Linked DNA regions of Arabidopsis thaliana. The protein of the gene in region 3 binds, or shares a complex with, the protein of the main gene of each other region. Each region holds a gene or a part of one and is shown on either strand. Other genes may lie near its edges. The genes, in order: TRIP-1, EIF3K, EIF3E and TIF3H1.

The links.
Region 1: EIF3E (region 3) and TRIP-1 share a complex: the UniProt entries of both Arabidopsis thaliana proteins name them as parts of the eukaryotic translation initiation factor 3 (eIF-3) complex.
Region 2: EIF3E (region 3) and EIF3K share a complex: the UniProt entries of both Arabidopsis thaliana proteins name them as parts of the eukaryotic translation initiation factor 3 (eIF-3) complex.
Region 4: EIF3E (region 3) and TIF3H1 share a complex: the UniProt entries of both Arabidopsis thaliana proteins name them as parts of the eukaryotic translation initiation factor 3 (eIF-3) complex.

What each region holds. Positions count from the first base shown.
Region 1 is NC_003071.7:19,002,657-19,007,537, forward strand, and holds TRIP-1 (TGF-beta receptor interacting protein 1), read right to left. Parts: upstream 3,077-4,881; 5' UTR 2,852-3,076; exon of another isoform or gene 2,766-2,851; 5' UTR 2,738-2,765; coding exon 2,554-2,737; intron 2,406-2,553; coding exon 2,190-2,405; intron 2,095-2,189; coding exon 1,961-2,094; intron 1,864-1,960; coding exon 1,744-1,863; intron 1,634-1,743; coding exon 1,544-1,633; coding exon of another isoform or gene 1,523-1,543; exon of another isoform or gene 1,451-1,522; coding exon 1,364-1,450; intron 1,264-1,363; coding exon 1,184-1,263; intron 1,076-1,183; coding exon 1,000-1,075; 3' UTR 502-999; downstream 1-501. Other genes in the region: GBF3 (G-box binding factor 3), read left to right, coding at 66-245; AT2G46290 (Transducin/WD40 repeat-like superfamily protein), read right to left, coding at 3,254-3,329, 3,432-3,511, 3,599-3,685, 3,781-3,870, 3,973-4,092, 4,193-4,326, 4,423-4,638, 4,774-4,881. UniProt on the Arabidopsis thaliana protein: Component of the eukaryotic translation initiation factor 3 (eIF-3) complex, which is involved in protein synthesis of a specialized repertoire of mRNAs and, together with other initiation factors, stimulates binding of mRNA and methionyl-tRNAi to the 40S ribosome.
Region 2 is NC_003075.7:16,038,101-16,042,422, forward strand, and holds EIF3K (eukaryotic translation initiation factor 3K), read right to left. Parts: upstream 2,709-4,322; 5' UTR 2,518-2,708; coding exon 2,404-2,517; intron 2,314-2,403; coding exon 2,257-2,313; intron 2,164-2,256; coding exon 2,050-2,163; intron 1,820-2,049; coding exon 1,769-1,819; intron 1,688-1,768; coding exon 1,621-1,687; intron 1,427-1,620; coding exon 1,344-1,426; intron 1,161-1,343; coding exon 966-1,160; 3' UTR 551-965; downstream 1-550. Other genes in the region: CDC20.2 (Transducin family protein / WD-40 repeat family protein), read right to left, coding at 3,133-3,276, 3,370-3,951, 4,032-4,301. UniProt on the Arabidopsis thaliana protein: Component of the eukaryotic translation initiation factor 3 (eIF-3) complex, which is involved in protein synthesis of a specialized repertoire of mRNAs and, together with other initiation factors, stimulates binding of mRNA and methionyl-tRNAi to the 40S ribosome.
Region 3 is NC_003074.8:21,195,967-21,201,111, forward strand, and holds EIF3E (eukaryotic translation initiation factor 3E), read right to left. Parts: upstream 3,354-5,145; 5' UTR 3,108-3,353; coding exon 2,888-3,107; intron 2,790-2,887; coding exon 2,635-2,789; intron 2,527-2,634; coding exon 2,299-2,526; intron 2,210-2,298; coding exon 2,088-2,209; intron 1,768-2,087; coding exon 1,548-1,767; intron 1,469-1,547; coding exon 1,326-1,468; intron 1,130-1,325; coding exon 992-1,129; intron 920-991; coding exon 820-919; 3' UTR 551-819; downstream 1-550. Other genes in the region: INO80 (DNA helicase INO80-like protein), read left to right, coding at 3,646-3,705, 3,910-3,997, 4,102-4,480, 4,602-5,034. UniProt on the Arabidopsis thaliana protein: Component of the eukaryotic translation initiation factor 3 (eIF-3) complex, which is involved in protein synthesis of a specialized repertoire of mRNAs and, together with other initiation factors, stimulates binding of mRNA and methionyl-tRNAi to the 40S ribosome.
Region 4 is NC_003070.9:3,607,093-3,612,483, forward strand, and holds TIF3H1 (translation initiation factor 3 subunit H1), read right to left. Parts: upstream 3,525-5,391; 5' UTR 3,208-3,524; coding exon 3,198-3,207; exon of another isoform or gene 3,082-3,197; coding exon 3,002-3,081; intron 2,836-3,001; coding exon 2,719-2,835; intron 2,620-2,718; coding exon 2,516-2,619; intron 2,430-2,515; coding exon 2,363-2,429; intron 2,090-2,362; coding exon 1,956-2,089; intron 1,871-1,955; coding exon 1,822-1,870; intron 1,686-1,821; coding exon 1,614-1,685; intron 1,524-1,613; coding exon 1,422-1,523; intron 1,337-1,421; coding exon 1,269-1,336; intron 1,084-1,268; coding exon 931-1,083; intron 851-930; coding exon 793-850; 3' UTR 539-792; downstream 1-538. Other genes in the region: Z-ISO (15-cis-zeta-carotene isomerase), read right to left, coding at 1-357; AT1G10850 (Leucine-rich repeat protein kinase family protein), read left to right, coding at 5,136-5,391. UniProt on the Arabidopsis thaliana protein: Component of the eukaryotic translation initiation factor 3 (eIF-3) complex, which is involved in protein synthesis of a specialized repertoire of mRNAs and, together with other initiation factors, stimulates binding of mRNA and methionyl-tRNAi to the 40S ribosome.

The DNA.
Region 1 (4,881 bases), on a different chromosome or scaffold from region 3:
CAACAAATTATCTTTATGAAGGCGTGTCATTTTCTTGAACATGGCCGGTTCTTTTTGGGTTGCAGGACAAACTGAAATGCTCGGAACCCGAAAAGAGAGTCCCCGCAAATATGTTGTCTAGAGTTAAGAACTCAGGAGCTGGAGATAAGAACAAGAACCAAGGAGACAATGATTCTAACTCTACAAGCAAATTGCATCAACTGCTCGATACGAAGCCTCGAGCTAAAGCAGTAGCTGCAGGCTGATCGATGGTAATTCATGTCGATTTCTACTTAATTTGTCGACATAAACAAAGAAAATAAGTGCTACTAATTTCAGAAAAACTTGATAGATAGTATAGTAGAGAGAGAGAGAGAGAGAGAGGTGTGATGATTATTGATCTATAAATTTTCGGAGAGAGAGAGGGAGAAAGAGAAACTTTTCCTCCAGATGAAAATTTGGTGTTATGGTTTGTTACTGTTAATATAGAGAGGCTTTTCTTTTTTTATAAAATGGCTTCCTTTGTTGCATTTCCTTGTTTTAGACCTGATGTAATTTTATGAAATCGGTGTTATTGCTTTGCGTAAGCTTTTGTTTCTTTTGTCAAGGTTTCATGCATAAAGGATCTTTCTTTTCAGGTTTCATACATCTCTCTCCGAAAATTTATAGATCCAATAATCATCACGAATATCACAAACATTATGAGTCTGTCTTTGGGTGATTTTCTTCGCTACTCTTGAGGACTGTCAATCACACAAGGCATTCTTTTCTACAACCGAGTTTATTTTATAAAAGCTGAATATTAATGCTCGCTCACACATAGAGCAGGTTAATTAACTTGTACTGAGAACTCTGGAAATGAAAACTAAAGATTCTGTCAAAATTCAAAAGCTTTATCATCAAGGTATTTGTATTGGTAGTAAATAAAAACATGAAAATGTTAAAAGAGAGAGAAAACAAAATCCGGAATGGGAGACTTTTTCAAAGATTCTAAAAGGTTGACGTTCAAGTAGTCGGAATCTAAATCTTGATGTTGAAGTAGTCGGAGTCAAAATGATGCAGCCTCACGTAACCGTCTTCACCTCCACTAGAGAAACTGAAATATACATTCCACAAACTCAGTGAGAGAGCCAAAACACACACTCAAAACCTCATCATGTGAGGATTGTGTCAATCAATCAAAATCCAAATGTTGTTAATTTACCTCTTCCCATCAGGATTGAATGCCAAAGCATTTATAGGTCCAAAATGACCTTTCACACCACCAATTTCCTCTTGCAGAATCTATATATTATACCAAACACAATGATACACGGTTATTTAAATATGTGTATTTTCCAGGTTACATGTTTCCAAGTAAAACACTCTTATTATAAACACTAACCTTGTCGTAAAACTTAGCTTCAAACTTTCCAGCACGATGATCAGTGGTAGTCACAGCTGATGCATCTTGACCACCTCCAAGTACAACCTAAAAGAGAGAGCAGAAACATTCACAAAGATAACATCATGCCTTGCTGATTCTGGGATTCGAAATTGAATTTCATGAAGCATTAGTGCATACATGGTTGAGAAGTGGAGACAGGGAGACAGCATTTACGGGCACCACAGTGGTGTAAGTCTTAAGAAGAGTCAGCGTTCTCATGTCCCAAAGCTGAAACAATCAACAAAAGAGAACACTCTATTAGATGATTTATATCTATATGTATAGTGCAAAAATTTGAAACAAGATATACTGTACAAGTAAAAGAAAGAAGCACATGCCTTTGCAGTTTTGTCAAGTGAACCTGTAAGGAAGTGAGAGTCATCAGCTGCTTTGCAGAGCGATGTAATGTCCTTCTTGTGACCCACTTCCTCATCTGATTGCTTGAGCAATTTTCCCGTCTAGTAACAATGGCAGTAGCACCACATAAGGTTTAGTTCATAACCTTAAAAGAGAGAAATTAATACACAAGTAAGGCCTTAAGAAAAATTGAAATACCTCGGCATCCCAGATTCTGATAACTTTATCTTCACCACCACTAACAATAGTTTGGTTCAGGGGACCCCAAACAGCTCTATTGATCCTCTTCTTTCCATCAGGACAATGAAGGACAAGCACAGACTCAGCATCCTCTACACAATTGCATCAAACAAACAATTTCCTTTTAACACATACAAGAAGTTGGCTAAAACGTAAGTAGTAATTCAGCTAGGAATGTACAACTTACGTTCCTCAGGATCTTCCGCAATACGCTTCACATGAATAGCAGCGGTACGGTCCACGAAGTGATCAGTGGTAATCACTGCAAGACGATCTCCAACAGCGAAATCCACAGACCTCGTAGGGGCATTAAACTTGAAAGTGAACAATTCTTTTCCAGATTTTACATCCCACAGCTTTGCAGTCTGATCAGCACTACCAGTGATCAATCTTGACGAGTCTCCTAAGAAATCACTAAACATTCAGCTTTGAAAGACTAAGACGACAGAATTCACTCGATACTATAAACCCTAAACAAGCTTGTAGCTAAGGGGAAACAATGAATCTAATCATCGACTCGATACTATTTGAAGAGAAATTGAGAAACTTACGGGAGACATCACAGCACCAAACAGCACCGTTGTGACCACGGTAAGTTCCAAGGCGCTCGCCGTTATCGGCAAACCAGAGGGTGGGTGTGTGGTCCTTGGCGCAGGAGAAAAGCAGATCTCCTTCTCTGTTGTACCTCAGAAACGTCAATGGACGTTCATGTCCCTTCATCAGGATCGGCCTCATCTTCAGTTTCTTAGGGTTTGATGCGAATCTTTGAAACAGATACGAAATCGAATCAATCAAAAGACAAGAAAAATAATTGAAGAAACGATTACGGAAAACGGCTTTCTTCTTCACCTGTTCACTTGAAGACGAGAGAGACGACGAGGAAGAAGTGCAAAAACCCTAGGAAATCAACTTTGTCCTCTCTTTTGACACTTTTACCCTTTTGTAATTTTTTAAATTACTCGAGATGCCACAGTTTAGCAAAGCTCAGTGGCTTCAGCGTTTTTAGCTTCTTCCCTATTTGATGAGTTCGAACCTCGCCCGTTGCGCCTATTTTGTTTTTTTCCTTTCTCAAAAGCAGTTTCATACGTTTTTTTTTTGTGGGTGCATATGTCTATTTGAAAAGACAAACAACAAGCTTTATCATCAAAGTAGTATATTGGTAATTTGGTAGTACATCAATTCTGAAAATGTTAAAAAGAGAGAAAATATTATGTGGAATGATGAAAAAATGGAAAGACATGTTCAAAGAATCTAAATCTTGATGTTGAAGTAATTGGAGTCAAAATGATGCAGTCTCACGTAGCCGTCTTCACCTCCACTAGAGAAACTGAAAATACATTCCAAAAAACACTCAGCAACAAAGCCTAAAAAACACTCTCATCAACTGAGGATTGTATCAATCAATCAAAATCAAATTTTGTTAGTTTACCTCTTCCCATCAGGACTGAATGCCAAAGCATTAATAGGTCCAAAATGACCTTTCACGCCACCAATTTCCTCTTGCAGAATCTATATATTATAAGACCAAATACACAGTTACATATCTCTTTCCAGGTTACAAGTTTTTAAATAAAACTGTTTTACTGCAACACTAACCGTGTCGTAAAACTTAGCTTCAAACTTCCCAGCACGATGATCAGTGGTAGTCACAGCTGATGCATCTTGACCACCTCCAAGCACAACCTAAAAGAGCGAGAGCAGAAACATTCACAAAGATAACATCAAGACTTGTTGCTTTTGGGAACCGAATTTGAATTTCAAGAAGCATTAGTGCATACATGGTTGAGAAGTGGAGACATGGCGACAGCATTTACAGGCACCACAGTGGTGTAAGTCTTAATAAGAGTCAGCGTTCTCATGTCCCAAAGCTGAAAGAATCAACAAAAAGAACACTCTATTAGATGATTTATCTCTATATGTAATATGTATAGAGCATATTTTTGAAACAAGTAAAAGAAAGAAGCACATGCCTTTGCAGTTTTGTCATGTGAACCTGTAAGGAAGTGAGAGTCATCAGCTGCTTTGCAGAGGGATGTAATGGCCTCCTTGTGACCCACTTCCTCATCTGATTGCTTAAGCAATTTTCCAGTCTAGTAACAATGGCAGTAGCACCACATAAGGTTTAAGCTAATAAAAAAAAAAAGAGAGATATTGATAGACAAAAGAAAGGCCTTAAGAAAGTTGAAATACCTCTGCATCCCAGATTCTGATAGCAGCATCTTCACCACCACTAACAATGGTTTGGTTCAGGGGACCCCAAACAGCTCTATTGATCTTCTTCTTTCCATCAGGACTTTGAAGGACAAGCACAGAATCACCAACCTCTACATCAATTACATTAAATCAATTCCTTTTACCCATACAAAAAAGACATAGGCTAAAAAACATAAGTAGATTTTAACTTAGAATTGACAACTTACGGTCTTCGGGATCTTCTGCAATGCGTTTGACATGAATAGCAGAGGAAGTTCCCACGAAGTGATCAGTGGTAATCACTGCAAGATGATCACCAACAGAGAAATCCACAGACCTTGCAGGGGCACCAAACTTGAAAGTGAACAATTCTTTGCCAGATTTCACATCCCACAGCTTTGCAGTCTGATCAGCACTACCAGTGATCAATCTAGACGAGTCTCCTAAGAAATCACAAACAAAACACTAATCGTTAAGCTATGAAAGACTAAAACAACAAAGACAACGACTTAAATCCTAAACTGAATCCATTCCATCCACTATATACTATTTGAATTTGAGAGGCTGAGACCACTTACTGGAGATATCACAGCACCAAACAGCACCACTGTGGCCACGGTAAGTGCCAAGACGCTCGCCGTTATCGGCAAACCAGACTGTGGGAGTGTGGTCTTTGGCGCAGGAGA
Region 2 (4,322 bases), on a different chromosome or scaffold from region 3:
CCACGTATCTTAATTAAATCTAACTTGTTCACTTCAATCACATATTGTATCTTCATTAGTCTTCATTATGTCGACTAAATAAAATAGAAAAAACAAATCATTAGGTTCATGATTGTCAAAAAAACAATTATAAATAAAACACCGTTCATTGTTGTCGATCAAATTGAAAATTTATATATTATATTCATAAAATTCAATTATTTATTCTGTTAAGCAATTCAAAAAAGTCTCATATATGTACAAAATTACAAAACTAGTTACATCAAAATCAAAAGTTATGATCTTGGGAATAACCTAGTTGTTAGTAGAATAATAGTATTGTTTTAAGCAATCATCTTAGATACGAGATGATCTAACTAATTATAGTTTAATCAGTCAAATTTATCACATAGGGAGCAGTCAAAATATGCATGGGAAAAGAGAAAATTGTGCACGTGACATGATTTGGTGTCAACATGTGAGCTTCCAAATGGATGGCTGTCAATCTTCGTATGTGATCTGTGTAGAGAGGACGACAAGACATAGACAGTCTCTTTGTATTTCAAACTTTCTCAATACAAATTTGCCGTGTCAGTTTCTATATTCCAAGAAACCTAAACAAAAGTTTTTTTTTTCCTTTGCTTTTTAAAGAAGACAATTGTTTGGGTTGTCTGAAGATTCGTTTAGTTTATTTAGATGTAATGAAGTAAACAGAAGATAATCAATCAGAAACGAGCCAATTCCAACACTTGTTGAGAAACCAGTATTGGAATCCATGGAAGGTAAAAAAAAAGGTAAGAAGCAGAGCTCAGACTATGAAGATCTACTAATTATGGCAAAGTCTCGGTCTACTAGATTTTTAAGAAAATCTGTCAAATTGCAAAGAGGAAGGCCATTGCCAAAATTCACATTACGGTGTCTTAAAAGTGTACATCACAAGATAACAAGAGACAAAAGGAAAATTTGCAGTGTTCTCATGAATTGGTTCAACCAAGGATGGGGAAGATGCGGGCAATGTGTTCCAAGGGAACATTCTCACCTGTATTTTTCTTGAGCTCCGGATGGTTAAATTCATTTTGTGGTAAGACAATACTTCCACCCTCTTTCTCAACAATCCATCCACTGTTAGTCACTTGCTGCTCGATGAATTTGTCTAGAGATGCACCATCCATGTTAACAGCCTGTGAAAATTGTCATTTATTGACAAATAAAAGGTCAACAAATTAGATTTCCAGAACTATGATGTGGAATATTCGTAACAGAAAATTATATGAGAAAGTAAAAGATTTCACATCCGAAGTTCTACTATTTTGATGACTTAAGCTATCCGTGGTGAAAACGAGATCATAAACCAAACATCATACCTCAGCCAGCACTGATCTTGGAACCTTTTGGTAGCTTAAGCTAAGAAGGTGACTTGCATATGCTTGAATAGCTTGCTCAAAACCTGCATTTAATCTCTCGCATATAAGACATCTACACTAGACACAATCATAAAATGAATAGACAGTACCATAAACCACTACTGAGGACTTTGTTCGTACCATAAGACATCTACACACAAATATCCTTAAGTAACAAATCTACATCTAGAAATTTGTTATTAGTAGACGATTTATTTATGATTCAGAAGTTAGTTACCTGGAACAGCCTCGAGAATGTGACGGTTCTTGGCAGCTTCATCCCAGAACTGTTGGAACCTCCCAGTCTGCAAAAGAAAAACAAGTGCTTTAAATACTCAATGCACACCTTTTCAACTCTCAACTAACTAATACTGATGTTTGCGTACCTCAAGGTAGTGTGATAGAACAATTAGTGACTTGAACTGCTCCTCCATTTGCTGAAACACACAATCCAAACAAGTACATTTATTAGTCCTCAAGAATCCAACACATTGAAACTCACACTTTATCATGAATGCTCAGTACACAGACTGAACTGACAGAAATAACTTGGAATGGCATAATAACTTGAGTCAGAAACATTTGAACAATCGTTTCTTCTGTATCTACGATAAGCTATATATGTAAGAAAGCAAAACATTGTGAAGTTAAGAGGAAAGAAGAATACCACTCTTTCGGGAATCAAGAAGAGGCAAAGGCTGAAGTCTGGAGTTGGCATAGCCATAAGAGCCTTGACCAAGATTCGAGCCACGATATGAGTGTTCATGCGCTCAGGCTCAAACTGCATAAAAGCAACAATACCAATTAACGAAAAGAGACACTAAAACTCTTGAATTTGGTATCAAAAGGTCCAGCTTAAGAACAACTAGAGCACCTGATAGAGCCGAAGCAAGCATAGGTTTACTTCCAGACTATACGTTTGCGATGTAACCTGAAAATCATAACGAAACCAACAACAATCAATGGAACACGATTTCTACAACAGAATCCGGCTTGAGAGAAAAGGGAAAGGAAACTGCACGTTAACGTAGTTTTCGAGATCAGGCAGGATTTCAGGGTTGAAAGGATTAAGGGCGACGAGCTGCTCAACGGTGTAAGAGCTCTGTTCCTGCGGCGATTGGATCTCTACTCCCATCTCTGCCTCTTTCTCCTTCTCCGTTTCTGTCCCTTTTGCGTCGGTCTCTTCGAACTTTGATAGATCACTGAGGAATGTGCAGAGGAGATTCGCTGATAAGACGAATCTAGGGTTTAAAAGCCAAAACGACAAAGCTTTGTCGTTTGGGCTAATGGTGCAATTGACAAAACGTTTGGGTTAAATTAGGATGACAGAGAAACTACAAAGGGTTGTTTAGTAAATAACTATTTTTAAGCCATTTTGATGCCACAGACTCGGTAAATAAATATTTTCTCAGTTTGCTTTTAAAGATTGATACTACACTAGAGTTTGCATTCGATTAACCATGGTCCAAAAGTTCACCAGTGAACATCTTTTCAAACAAAACTGTCAGCATCTACGAGTTCTCTGATCACAACTTCATGAAGTCTCACTTTGTTTCCAGTAGAATAATAAATGTGGATATCCTTCAAGAGTATAAAATCATAATCTTTCTTTTTTCAAATTTCAATATATACAAGTAATCTTTATATTCACGAAGAATGAATCCTTTGGTAATAAAATAAAAATAAAAATATATAGTTTCTTTTTGTAACAATCAATGGGTTTTCCTTGTTGTTTTAGTCTTCAACAGCTTCATCGAATACGATTCACATGAGAAAATGGCTCGGCAACTGCTTTTGGTGCAGCTTTTTTTGCAGTCTCTGGTACTCCAAAAACGTTCCAAAACCTCAGGGTCTCGTCTCCTGCTGCTGAAGCTACAGTACAACCATCTGGACTCTGTAGAAAACACAACAAACAACACAAGTTTAAGGACTGAATGACCTCAAAGACTCAAACTACTTCACCACTTAAAGAAATTGATGACGTTACCTGGGCCATATATAGAACTCTTGATGTATGACCAGTGAGCTCAGCCATTTTCACCATGGATGGGTACTTCCAAAGTGTAAGCTGATTCTGTGTAAACCCATGTGAGCTAAGCAACTCTCTTTCATTCTTGCTCCATAACAACGAACAAACTTGGGAACCAGTGTCTACTGAATTCAAGCAAGCCCCAGTGTGAGTATTCCAGAACTTTATCGTCCTGTCTCCTCCACCACCACCAGTTGCAAGCAAATTCGCTTGGAAAGGGCACCACGCAAGAGCCTTCACAGCAGATGTATGTTCCTCAAGCCTGTGCAGCCATTGTGTGGTTGAGTTTGAGGAAGCGACAGAACGATCCCAGATGTGTACCACATTGTCGTTGCCACCACTTGCTAGTTGTTGTCCAGATCCTGACCACTTGAGCCCACAAACTTCTTGAGTGTGACCTCTGTAAGTTTCCACAATGGGTGATCTGATCCTCACATCATTGTTGATGATCAGTCCATCCATTCCTCCAGTAGTAAGGATATGATTGTTCCATGCCAGTGATCCTACTCTTGACTGGTGACCACCCTTTAATGTTCTCAGCTGCAGAAATATGAGAAACACATCAGACTAAGAACACCGGATATTATATCTCAACATAAAAGAGAGAGAGTAGTAATTACTTGACGGTTGGATGCAGAATCCCACAGCTGGACTTCAGAGTTGTTGAGTCCAACTGCAACATGACGACCATCAGGAGCCCAGTTGATACTTGTGACAGGTCCCTTCTCCTCATCAATGGTCACAAGCTCAGATGTAGAACCAGTGGAAGCATCCCACAAGTAGACAGTGTGGTCCAACGCTATGGCTAAGACATTTGCACTTCCCCAGTCCAGCAAGTTGAGGTAGAAATCGTCAACAATGTCAGGTGCATCCAAGGTTCTCTCAGAAGTCTGTTAATCACAACAGAAAGT
Region 3 (5,145 bases):
CATGTATAATTAAAGTACGGCCAGTTATCTTCCAATTATGAAGCAAAATCTTATTTTTCTGAAATGTTGTGATTGTTTTTGTTGGCAAATTCGGATGGCGGCGACACCAAATGGAAGTTCTATTCAAATCAATCGAATACGTCTTCTCCCATTTCTTGCGAGAGTTTAATGACCATATCTCTTGTTTCATGTCCTTCCCCTCTGATATACACAAACGGTCCTTCATGTTGCTTATAGTAACTCGACCATCAGTGGTAAATGGTATTTTCATACTCGCTTCAAAAGATCCACTGGAAAGATCAAAACACACTATATGCCATTTCCATTGCATGTTGTGTTTCTATTCTTATGTGGTACTCTCTGGAGGGCACCCACCTCCAAAGAAATTGAATTTATCTTCTCTCTTTTGATGACTCTGGCGAGTTGGACTTCTGGAGTAACTTTATACTATTTACGAATTGATATACTTGTTTTGTTTGTGACCTGTTCTTTCCACTGTCATAGTCTTAACTCTTAAGTTTTGTTTTTCTTACTTCTGTTATATGCTATTATTGTACTTACTATTACGCAAATCAGAGATGCTCAATGTAAGGCAGTAATTTACGTTGGCTTGCAAAAACCTTTAAATGCTTAGGGTGGATACAAAATGCTGATTTGGTTGGAAAATGTTCCAATCTGTGGATCCAACATTTCAAATAGAACAACTCCATAATAATCTTTTTCAAAGTAAAAGGTGAACTCAGAGCAAGAAAAAGAAAATAATTCCAGTCAACCGAAGGTGAGTTTTATCAAGGAAAGGCTTCCACAGCAAAATTTTGACTAGCGAGTTGCTTGCGCCTGTGTGTGTTCCAAGAGCTGATTCACTAACTTGTATGTTCGTCCTGATAAGCCTTTGGTGTGGTTTATCAACTGCTCATGCCTGCATAAAGCGGAAACAAGATTAGATTGTAGAATACGAATGATATCATAGATTTAAGCTTATTCTACTTACACGTTGGGCTGAGTAGGCTCCATGATTACAGTTCCTGACTCAGAATCAATCTTGGCATCAAGCTTTGAGGTGCGGATTAGGTTCACAATCCATCTCTCGGCCTCCTCATAGTTCAGATTCAATTTTTCAGCAAGTACCCTGACAAGGGAAATATAGGCTCGACATGAGTACAAAGTTAAACCACAAGACCGCAACAATTCTTCTCAACTTAAATAGCTGGATATGGCAATTTTCATGTGTTGGGAAAGATAAGGAATAGAGAAAATTCCAAACATTGAGCAATCCGGAGAGCAGAGTTATGTGTAAACATATACAACCAAATGTGAGAACTTACCCCATGTCAATCCTTTGATGAATTTTGCAATAGGTTTCAAAGACGAATAGGCGGGCATTTTCAAGAAATTCATCTCTCAGTGGTACAGTTGAAAAGTTTCCATCCTCAACTCGCTTGCCAAGGAATGGATCATTCACAATGACCTACATCATGTTAAAATGTCAGAGTATTGATTGCACAGTTCTGCACAAACAAAAATATCTATACATGTGGATGAGTTACCTCTTCACACTCTTTCATCTTCTTTTGAGCCCCATCAAAGTCATAATTGACAAACACACATGCCAGGAACTCGATAATTGGATCTTTGTAGGAGTAGTGCTCTTGCTGAATGACCTTAATGAATTCTTTCAATTGTGGTCTTCTCCTTTTGTTGACAATGAAAGCAGTTGCCAAGTAGCGCAGCAAGTGTGGAGCACTAGTTTGGATGGCATTCAGATACCTGAAAAAGTAAATCAAATTAGTATACAGAACTGCAGCATGAAAACAAAGTGAATTATTTTTCAGCAAATGCCCATACACAAAGCACAATCTTAAGAATAGGTCTGGATGAAAAGAAGGAGAAGACTCTAAAACTAGTGACTGCTAATTACTTGTAGGCACATCAGGACTAACATTAACTATAAACAAAGTTCTACACACAAACACCACCTATACATAACTTCATCGCATCTAGATCATGCTTATCTTAAAACGCAAGGAAATAGATGGTGATGAAAGGTATAAAGAAGAGATGCAGATAACAGAGAGGTAGAGGCTTACTTGTCTTGGTTAAAAAGATCAATGATCTGTGTCCTTCCATTATCATGGTTAAAAAAGATATACAGACCCCAATGCATCAACCAAATCCTGTTCTGCACCTGGTTTAACGGCGATGAAAAACTCTGAAAAAACAAATGGTAGTTAGCATATATACTCTCACATCTATATTGATTTCAAAGGTCGCAAACTAGAAGAAGTTTTAAATACTAACCTTTGAGTCAATAATCTCTTTGAGACGGTTAAGCTCTTCAAGAGCAATATCCCAGTTTTGCATCAATATTTCAGATGCGAGCTTTCCCCACAAGGCACTCAAACTCCTCTCAAGGTTAGAGCACAGGGTCCTGTACTGGTAAAGATAATCAGCAGCACCAGAATAGTTGCCACATTCAAACTGAAACTTGGCGTACTGGTACAAAGCCTCAATCTGGTCTGGACCAATCTGATAAGACACCAAGCCATATAAGATTTGTGTTCCACAATACACAAACAAAACCAAATCTGGATAACATTTCACAAAATTAAACAACTTAATCATCCAAATCACAACCTGGTAGCGTTCCTTGAGCATTTGGAGATTGTACTGCTTGTCAGCTCTTAGCTCCTGCACAGCGTTAGGGTTCAAAAGAAAAGACACGAGTGGTGCAGCAGCCTCCTCCAAAGATTTGAGCCTAGCGACAACCTCTGTTCTTCTCTCCACCATTTCTATCACCACAAATTTCAACATTCATCATCAAACAAACAAACCAGTACACAAAAACGCAAATTCACAGACATATCCAGAGAGGAATACACAAGAATACCTTGAGGAGCGTCTTCAGTGTGGTAGAGACTCTTGTGAATATCCATGGCGTAATCAACCATGTTCGTCTGGTTCAAAAGCTGGATTTTAGACTTCAGGATCTGCTCATCAGGGTAAAGCTGACGCTCTTGAAGGAACTCGAATATAGGAAACACCAAGTGTCTGTCCAGGTTAGGCGCTATTAGTGGCGTCAGGTCATAGTTCTGTTTGCTTTCCTCCATCGTCGCTAATCTCTCAATCTCCGCCGCTTCCCGCACTGGCAAAATCTTCTTAAGACGGCAGAGATGAAGTTTCAGAGACGACGAGGTAAAAAATCCTGTATATTGAAATTAGGGTTTTCTCGAATATGAGCTTTCAATATTTATAAATTCGCCCCTTTACTTCTTATATATTGTTGTTTACCCCACAAGGTATTTTTATCTCCAAAACGATAACTTAGCCGTCGTTATCTGATCGGCCGGTACCGGAGGGGTTAAGAAAAAATAATAATTAAATGTTTTTTGTGGAGAGGCGCACGGTAAGAAGCTTTATTCGTTTGGCGTATGTTAGTAGTCTGGACTTCTTTCTGTACCGCCTGTGTCCACTAACTTGCGCATGTTCGTCTTTAACCTTTCGCCCTCTTCCTCTATCATACTGGATTAGGGTTCTTCTTCGAGACGAACTCTTTTTCTTTCTCGTGACGAATGTTTCTGTCTAGAAGCTTTTAAGGATTAAGACTCTCCAAAATTTTGACGCCGTGTTATTCTCTTCCCGTCTCTCATGGATCCTTCAAGACGACCACCGAAGGACTCTCCTTACGCGAATCTATTCGATCTCGAGGTCTGTTAGGTCTCAATTTTTTTGTGATTTCCTTGAAATTGATGGTTTGTACTTGTTGGATGATGATCATGTGACTGTGATGAATGTAGTTTTGGTGATTGGAAATCTTGCAATTGTATAGCTTCTCCTTGTTTCTACAGTGTGTTTTTGTTTTACTGTTGAAATTCAGTGTGGGTTTTGTGGCTAAATTCTTCATTCTTGCAGCCGTTGATGAAGTTTAGAATTCCGAAACCTGAAGATGAAGTTGATTATTATGGGAGTAGTAGCCAGGATGAAAGTAGAAGCACTCAAGGTACAGTTTTTAATTGGTTTTATGGAATTACTTTTGCCACCTACTGTGATAGTTTTAAGTGACGTTTATCTGTGTTCTGTCTATATGGTTGGTAATGGTTAAAGGTGGGGTAGTGGCAAACTACAGCAATGGGTCTAAATCGAGAATGAATGCGAGCTCCAAGAAGAGAAAGCGGTGGACAGAAGCTGAGGATGCAGAGGACGATGATGATCTCTACAATCAACATGTTACTGAGGAGCACTACCGATCAATGCTTGGGGAGCATGTACAAAAATTCAAAAATAGGTCCAAGGAGACTCAAGGGAATCCTCCTCATCTGATGGGTTTTCCGGTGCTAAAGAGCAATGTGGGCAGTTACAGAGGTAGGAAACCAGGGAATGATTACCATGGGAGGTTCTATGACATGGACAACTCTCCAAATTTTGCAGCTGATGTGACCCCACATAGGCGAGGAAGCTACCATGATCGTGATATTACACCCAAGTATGTTGATCATATGTTTTTTCATGTTCCATGGGATCCGTGTAACCCTGTGTAATCCGCTTAGATAACTTACGGTGTTGGGTTTCCTAGATTGACACGTTGAATTTTGCATCATTTGCAGGATAGCATATGAACCTTCGTATTTGGACATTGGTGATGGTGTCATCTACAAAATCCCCCCAAGTTATGACAAGCTGGTGGCATCATTAAACTTACCGAGCTTTTCAGACATTCATGTGGAAGAATTTTACTTGAAAGGAACTCTGGATCTGAGATCATTAGCAGAACTGATGGCAAGTGATAAAAGGTCTGGAGTAAGAAGCCGTAATGGAATGGGTGAGCCTCGACCTCAATATGAATCTCTTCAAGCTAGAATGAAGGCCCTGTCACCTTCAAACTCCACCCCAAATTTTAGCCTCAAGGTGTCAGAAGCTGCAATGAATTCTGCCATTCCAGAAGGATCTGCTGGAAGTACTGCACGGACAATTCTGTCTGAGGGTGGTGTTTTACAGGTCCATTACGTGAAGATTCTGGAGAAGGGGGATACATACGAGGTTTGGATTCTGTGGCAGTATTTTATGAATCATAGTTTTGAATCCTTCATGGCTCATTCATGGCTCATTCATGGCTTTATTAACAACATTATCTTTTTGTTCCGACATTGT
Region 4 (5,391 bases), on a different chromosome or scaffold from region 3:
GGTGGAATTATCGATCCAAACAACATTGAGGATAAAGAGAACAACTCCAAGGACAACACCGAAATAAACCCAGGAAACAAGCTTCTGTTTCCCTAATTCAAAAGCAGCAGAATCTTCACCGATCAGTAGAGTAGGACTACTCTCGGAGTCAGAGGCGATGGGTTGGTCTTCCCGGAGAGTGCTACGAACCAGAATTTTCCGAATTACCGGTGACGAAGAAGAAAGCAAGCTGGTCGAGTTTCCGAGGCGAGGATGAGCTGGGATACGGCGGATTAAGGTGAGGTTAGGGCGGCGAGGAGAAGGAGGGAGAAGAAGAAGCGAAGGTGGGCTCGAGAGAAGGAGATGATAAACCGCCATTGTTCTTGTTGGTAAACAATCTTTCGAAGAGGAAGTAATAAAAAGATGTCGTTTTTAAATTTCTTCAAACAATCGTCCGAAGAAGAAATAATAAACGTTGTCGTTCAAGGGATTTAGCGATGGAACTAACACTACAACTATAATAAAATCTCTATAAATTAGATTTTTTACTCTTTTGATTAGGATTTTGATAACTATGTATAATTTGTTGTAAGGCAATCAGAGGTCCAATACAAGATAAATCTTTCAAAACTTCAATAATTTTTCATTATGCATAAGAATAAAGATTTTTTTTGAAAAGCTTGTAAATTAAATTACTTCACAACAACAAAAATAAAAACAAAAACATCCACGAAAAACAAATATAGGATCCATTCTACCACCAAGTCTTTCACTTTCTGACTCAAAAAACAAAAACTTGGGTAGTCTTTGCAATCAGTTGTCGTGCAATGCTTTGGTCAGGTAAAGCCTGCTGAAGTTCTGGCCAGCCACTCTGCATAACAACAGGTCGACTCATTTTAAGTATCTTTCAAAGCTCCAAAAATGGTGAAACAATACTAAAGAGGAACATACCCATTGATTTGGCCACAGAAGTTTGAGACTTGGTTTGTGATGAGGAAACTCTCTAGCCTAGATGGTTCAGGGATCGCCTTAAAGATTGGGTTTGAAGGATCCTCTTCTGGTAAAGGCTCCTCTCCAGCTGATTTACGAGCCATGTTCTCCGTTCTATAAACCAAACACCTCTTTCATTAGTTGGAAGATCAAAAGGACAAGGAAAAGCTGAAGACAAATGTTACAAGGCATTCACAACTCTCGTAAGTAAAGTTGTATCACCTTCCAAGATAACGAGGTAGTGAAACTAATCAAACCTGAACTAGAACAAAAAGGTTCTGCAGAAAATATAAACCTACCTTCTCTTCTGGAGCCAGGCTTGCTGTTGTGCTTGCTGACGAGACAGGTTCCGGTAGTAATACTGGAACTGGAGAAATAAATTAAGATTTTGCGTTAAGATAGTTCGGACTTCTGATGATGAGAATTGAACAAGAGTGCAGAAGAAACCACACCTTTTGCTGTTCCATAGATAAATCATCCATGCATTTAATCAAAAACTCCATATTGTTCTCAAGGAAAGGAGTGGTTGATGAGTGTAGACGATCATAATCGCCCTAGAAAGGCGAAAATACAGAAGTATCAAGAGTCAAAATCTGCAATGCTGACAGCAAGCAAGGATCACTATCCAGATAGTAGTATTGTACCTGTGAGACAGGTGTATCAGTCTCCAGTTCGGTCATAAAGGCACTGACAAGGGCAGAATTTGAAACCTTGATCTGTCAAAGGAAAAGTAACAAACATTTAAACCACTTTTTTTGTCAGAGGAAAATATAATTAGGTAACAATTCCAACCTAGTGACTTGAAAAGATTAGCTGGTAAGAATTCAATATAGAAGAAAGCTAGAGACTTACAGGTATTTCCTCAAAAATATCCATCCAGGAGAAATTTTTCTCTCTCAACCTGAAAAAGATAGTGATTAAAACGTTACAACTATCATCCTAAGTGGCTCATAAAACCTAGATTTTCAATGGATCAAGATACATACTTCTCGCCAGTAAAGTTTCCACCTCGGTACAACTCCATAAAGGAATCTGAAAGCTTCAAAGCCTTCAAAGCTAAGACGCCTAGATCAGCTTTAGAGGGATCATATATGATGCACACACACCTCTTGATATTCTCCTGTAGATGCAGAAGAATCATTTCTTAAGAGTTCATATCATGATTCTGCAAGGGATTGTAACAGAGTTGCGGACAAAAAAAGTCTCAGAAAATATATTCATGATCCAATTTACATTCAACTTTTACACATGCCAATATACCTATCATACACTAGAGTAGCCATGCTATACATATAAATTTCCAGCTGAATGAAGAGCATAACATATGAACAGACCAAATCTAGAATGTTATAATGACATGGTAGACAGGATTCTTTAACAAAAAAAAAAGTACCTGGTAATTCATGAAGGTCTCAATCAGTTCCACAGTCTGATACGAACCAAGAACTGTAGATTGATACCTGAACAAAGAATTAGGCAGATCTAAATACATTCACAAGAAAAAATTTAACAAGTGAACTCAGACTGATGTCATTAAAAAACCTACCAGCCAACAGTGTTGTTGTCAACATTAACCTCCCTCAGACATCTCATCATCTCAAGCTGATAATTAGCACCATCAGCTTCAATTTCTTCATCATCATCCCTGACCTGTCCTCGTTTAAGATACAAATTCCAGTAAATCACATGTACATCAATCATGAACAAGCTCTTAAATCCTCACAATGCGTGTAAAATTCATCAACATACCGGGAAAGGAAAACAATTGGTAACTTCGAGGACGCTACCAACATCAAGTCCAAGAAGCTGTCCAGTGACAAGGGTCGGTGAAAACTCCTTGCAGTGTTTGATTATCTTTAGTACAGCCTATCACAATAGCAAACAAAATTCTCAGCATCACAACTTCCTACCAAATGATAATGGGCAAATTAGCTTCACCTAGAGAGTTTTTATTTATCAAACACCATCGGTCAGCAGAAAACGAGGAAAAACACTTAAAACCGTAAAATCAGGGAACACTAAGAAACGTTACCAGTCCTTCGATCTGAACAACTCTAAGCGGAGGAGCCACCGCCTCATCCTTCGATATCGCCTGCAGAAACGACCTAGCCACTGCAGAAATAAACCACGGAAGAAACTTAGCACGACATATACAGAAATCGTCAATAAACAGATGCAAATATTAATTCTATGTCCTAGTGAAGAACAGAGAGGATGATTATACTGACTGGTTGCCATTGAAATAGTCTCCGGTGATAGTGAAAGCTTCCTAGGTCAAAGAACTTGAATCTCCGCCGTGAAACCCTAACGATGTGATATTTTTACTGCCGGCGGCGGAGATGAGTAAGAGAAAGAACTTTATGTGTTTGATAGGGCTTCTCGAGGATCCGCAGATTTTTTTTTCCCTTCAATTTGGGTGTAGAGAGGAAAAAAAAAAAGCGTTTCGCAGTTAAAATTGCAAAAGAGCCCTAAAATTTGAGATTCTTATAGAATGATCCCTAAATGTTTTCCGACCTATAATAAGGATGGACCCAGCCCATGGACCTATAATGCTATTCTCTTGTAAAAGGCCAGGACCATAATATTCCTCAAAATATTGAACATTTAATTTAATAGCATGGGCCCATTACACTAACCAACTAGTCAAAACTTAGTAAGAAAAAACAAACAGTCATGGAGTCAACTAGAATCCAAAACTTTTAGAAACTTTCCCTCCAAATTCCATCCGGTATTAGGGTTTAATCGAAAAAGAGGACTAATTCAAAGTCTAATCTTTAGTAACCAACTTTAAAAAGTCTATAAGACATGGTCATTTCATAAGTCCGTAAGAAAATCAACAATGTCCTAAATAAACGGCAAAAACTAGAGAATCACCACTGGTATCAAAAAACGTAAAACCAAATATATAAAACGTATTAAATGTACTATAGTTTATTACTCGAAAGTCGAAAACCTTGATGATTCATTGAAGGTCAAAGAAGTCAACAATAATATTGATGCCAAATTAAATGACTGCAGTCTCTTTGCGAGGTTGGTGTTTGGACTGGTGGACCGCTGGTTAATAATTAACTCAGCCTTTACGTGAACTCAATTCTCACCTCTTCTTTATTACATTTTCATCACGCTTAAGCTAAGCAACTAATAAATTCCTAATTTAATAAACACTTCAACATCCTCGTTTTAGAGATTGAATACCAACCATGAATGTTAACACATCTTTAACTTTCCTCTCAAACAAAAATCCAACAATCTATATCCTCATTGTATAAATAACATGAGGTCCATATTAAAATACGATTAAAAATATTATAAAAACCATGTGAAGATTCAACAAGAAAAAGAGGTAGGAAAAAAAAGCAGCTCAATAATTGGTAGAGAGTGCAAAGAGGAACCAGACACCAACTGAATAAAATTGAAAAACAATGTCTCTCCTTACTTTAAATAAATCATCCCTAAAATTAATTATTCCCACCATATTTCTTCTGCTCCATACCACACTTCACCATAAAATCTCTATATAAATTTTCTCAGCAGCAGTAACTACCTTGGCCCCAAAACCTATCTGTCTCTGAATCTTGGCAAAGTAATAGCAACCATAACAATAACGACAAAAATATACGTGAATTATTTTTCTCTTTCTCCTTCGTCTCTCCTTCATAAACCCATTATTAATTTTTTTTATAATACTACTATTATTCATGAATGCATTGAAGATGTCACAGTGAGAACAAAAAAAAAGTTTTCCAGGCATGGCTTCACGTGATGACATCTTCCTCGACCAAGAACTTCGAGAAAAGATACTCAGAAAGTGAAGTGAGAGAGAGAGAAAATGCCGGGGAATTTTAATGCTTCTTCTTCTCTTCTTAGTGCTCACTACCAGAAGATTTCTTTCCGCCATTAAAGAGCAGAGTAGAGCAGAGCTCTCACTTTCTTCTTCTTCTTCTTCATTTTTTACCTTTCCCTTTTTTGCTTCGATCGAGATGCTTTAGCATAATGGGGCAGATCTGGAAAGTGACTTAATAATAGAAAGTGATGGCTTTGAGGAGATTCATGGGATGCTTTTTATGGAAACTCGATTTCGAACTGTATCAATCATTTCTGTTTCTTTTATGAGCTGAGGAAAAGAGCCACTCTTTCTGATTTGATTGATTCATCATTCATCGACAATGGCTTCTTCTTCTTCTTCTTCGTCTTCGAGTACGGTGTCGTTCGTAGTCTTTGCATTTACAGTCTTCTTCTGTTTGGTTACTCCGGCGAGATCTAGCGACGTCGAAGCTTTACTAAGCTTGAAATCTTCAATCGATCCATCTAATTCGATTTCTTGGAGAGGAACAGATCTCTGCAACTGGCAAGGTGTTAGAGAATGTATGAATGGAAGAGTCTCCAAGCTTGTTCTTGAGTACTTGAATCTCACCGGCTCAC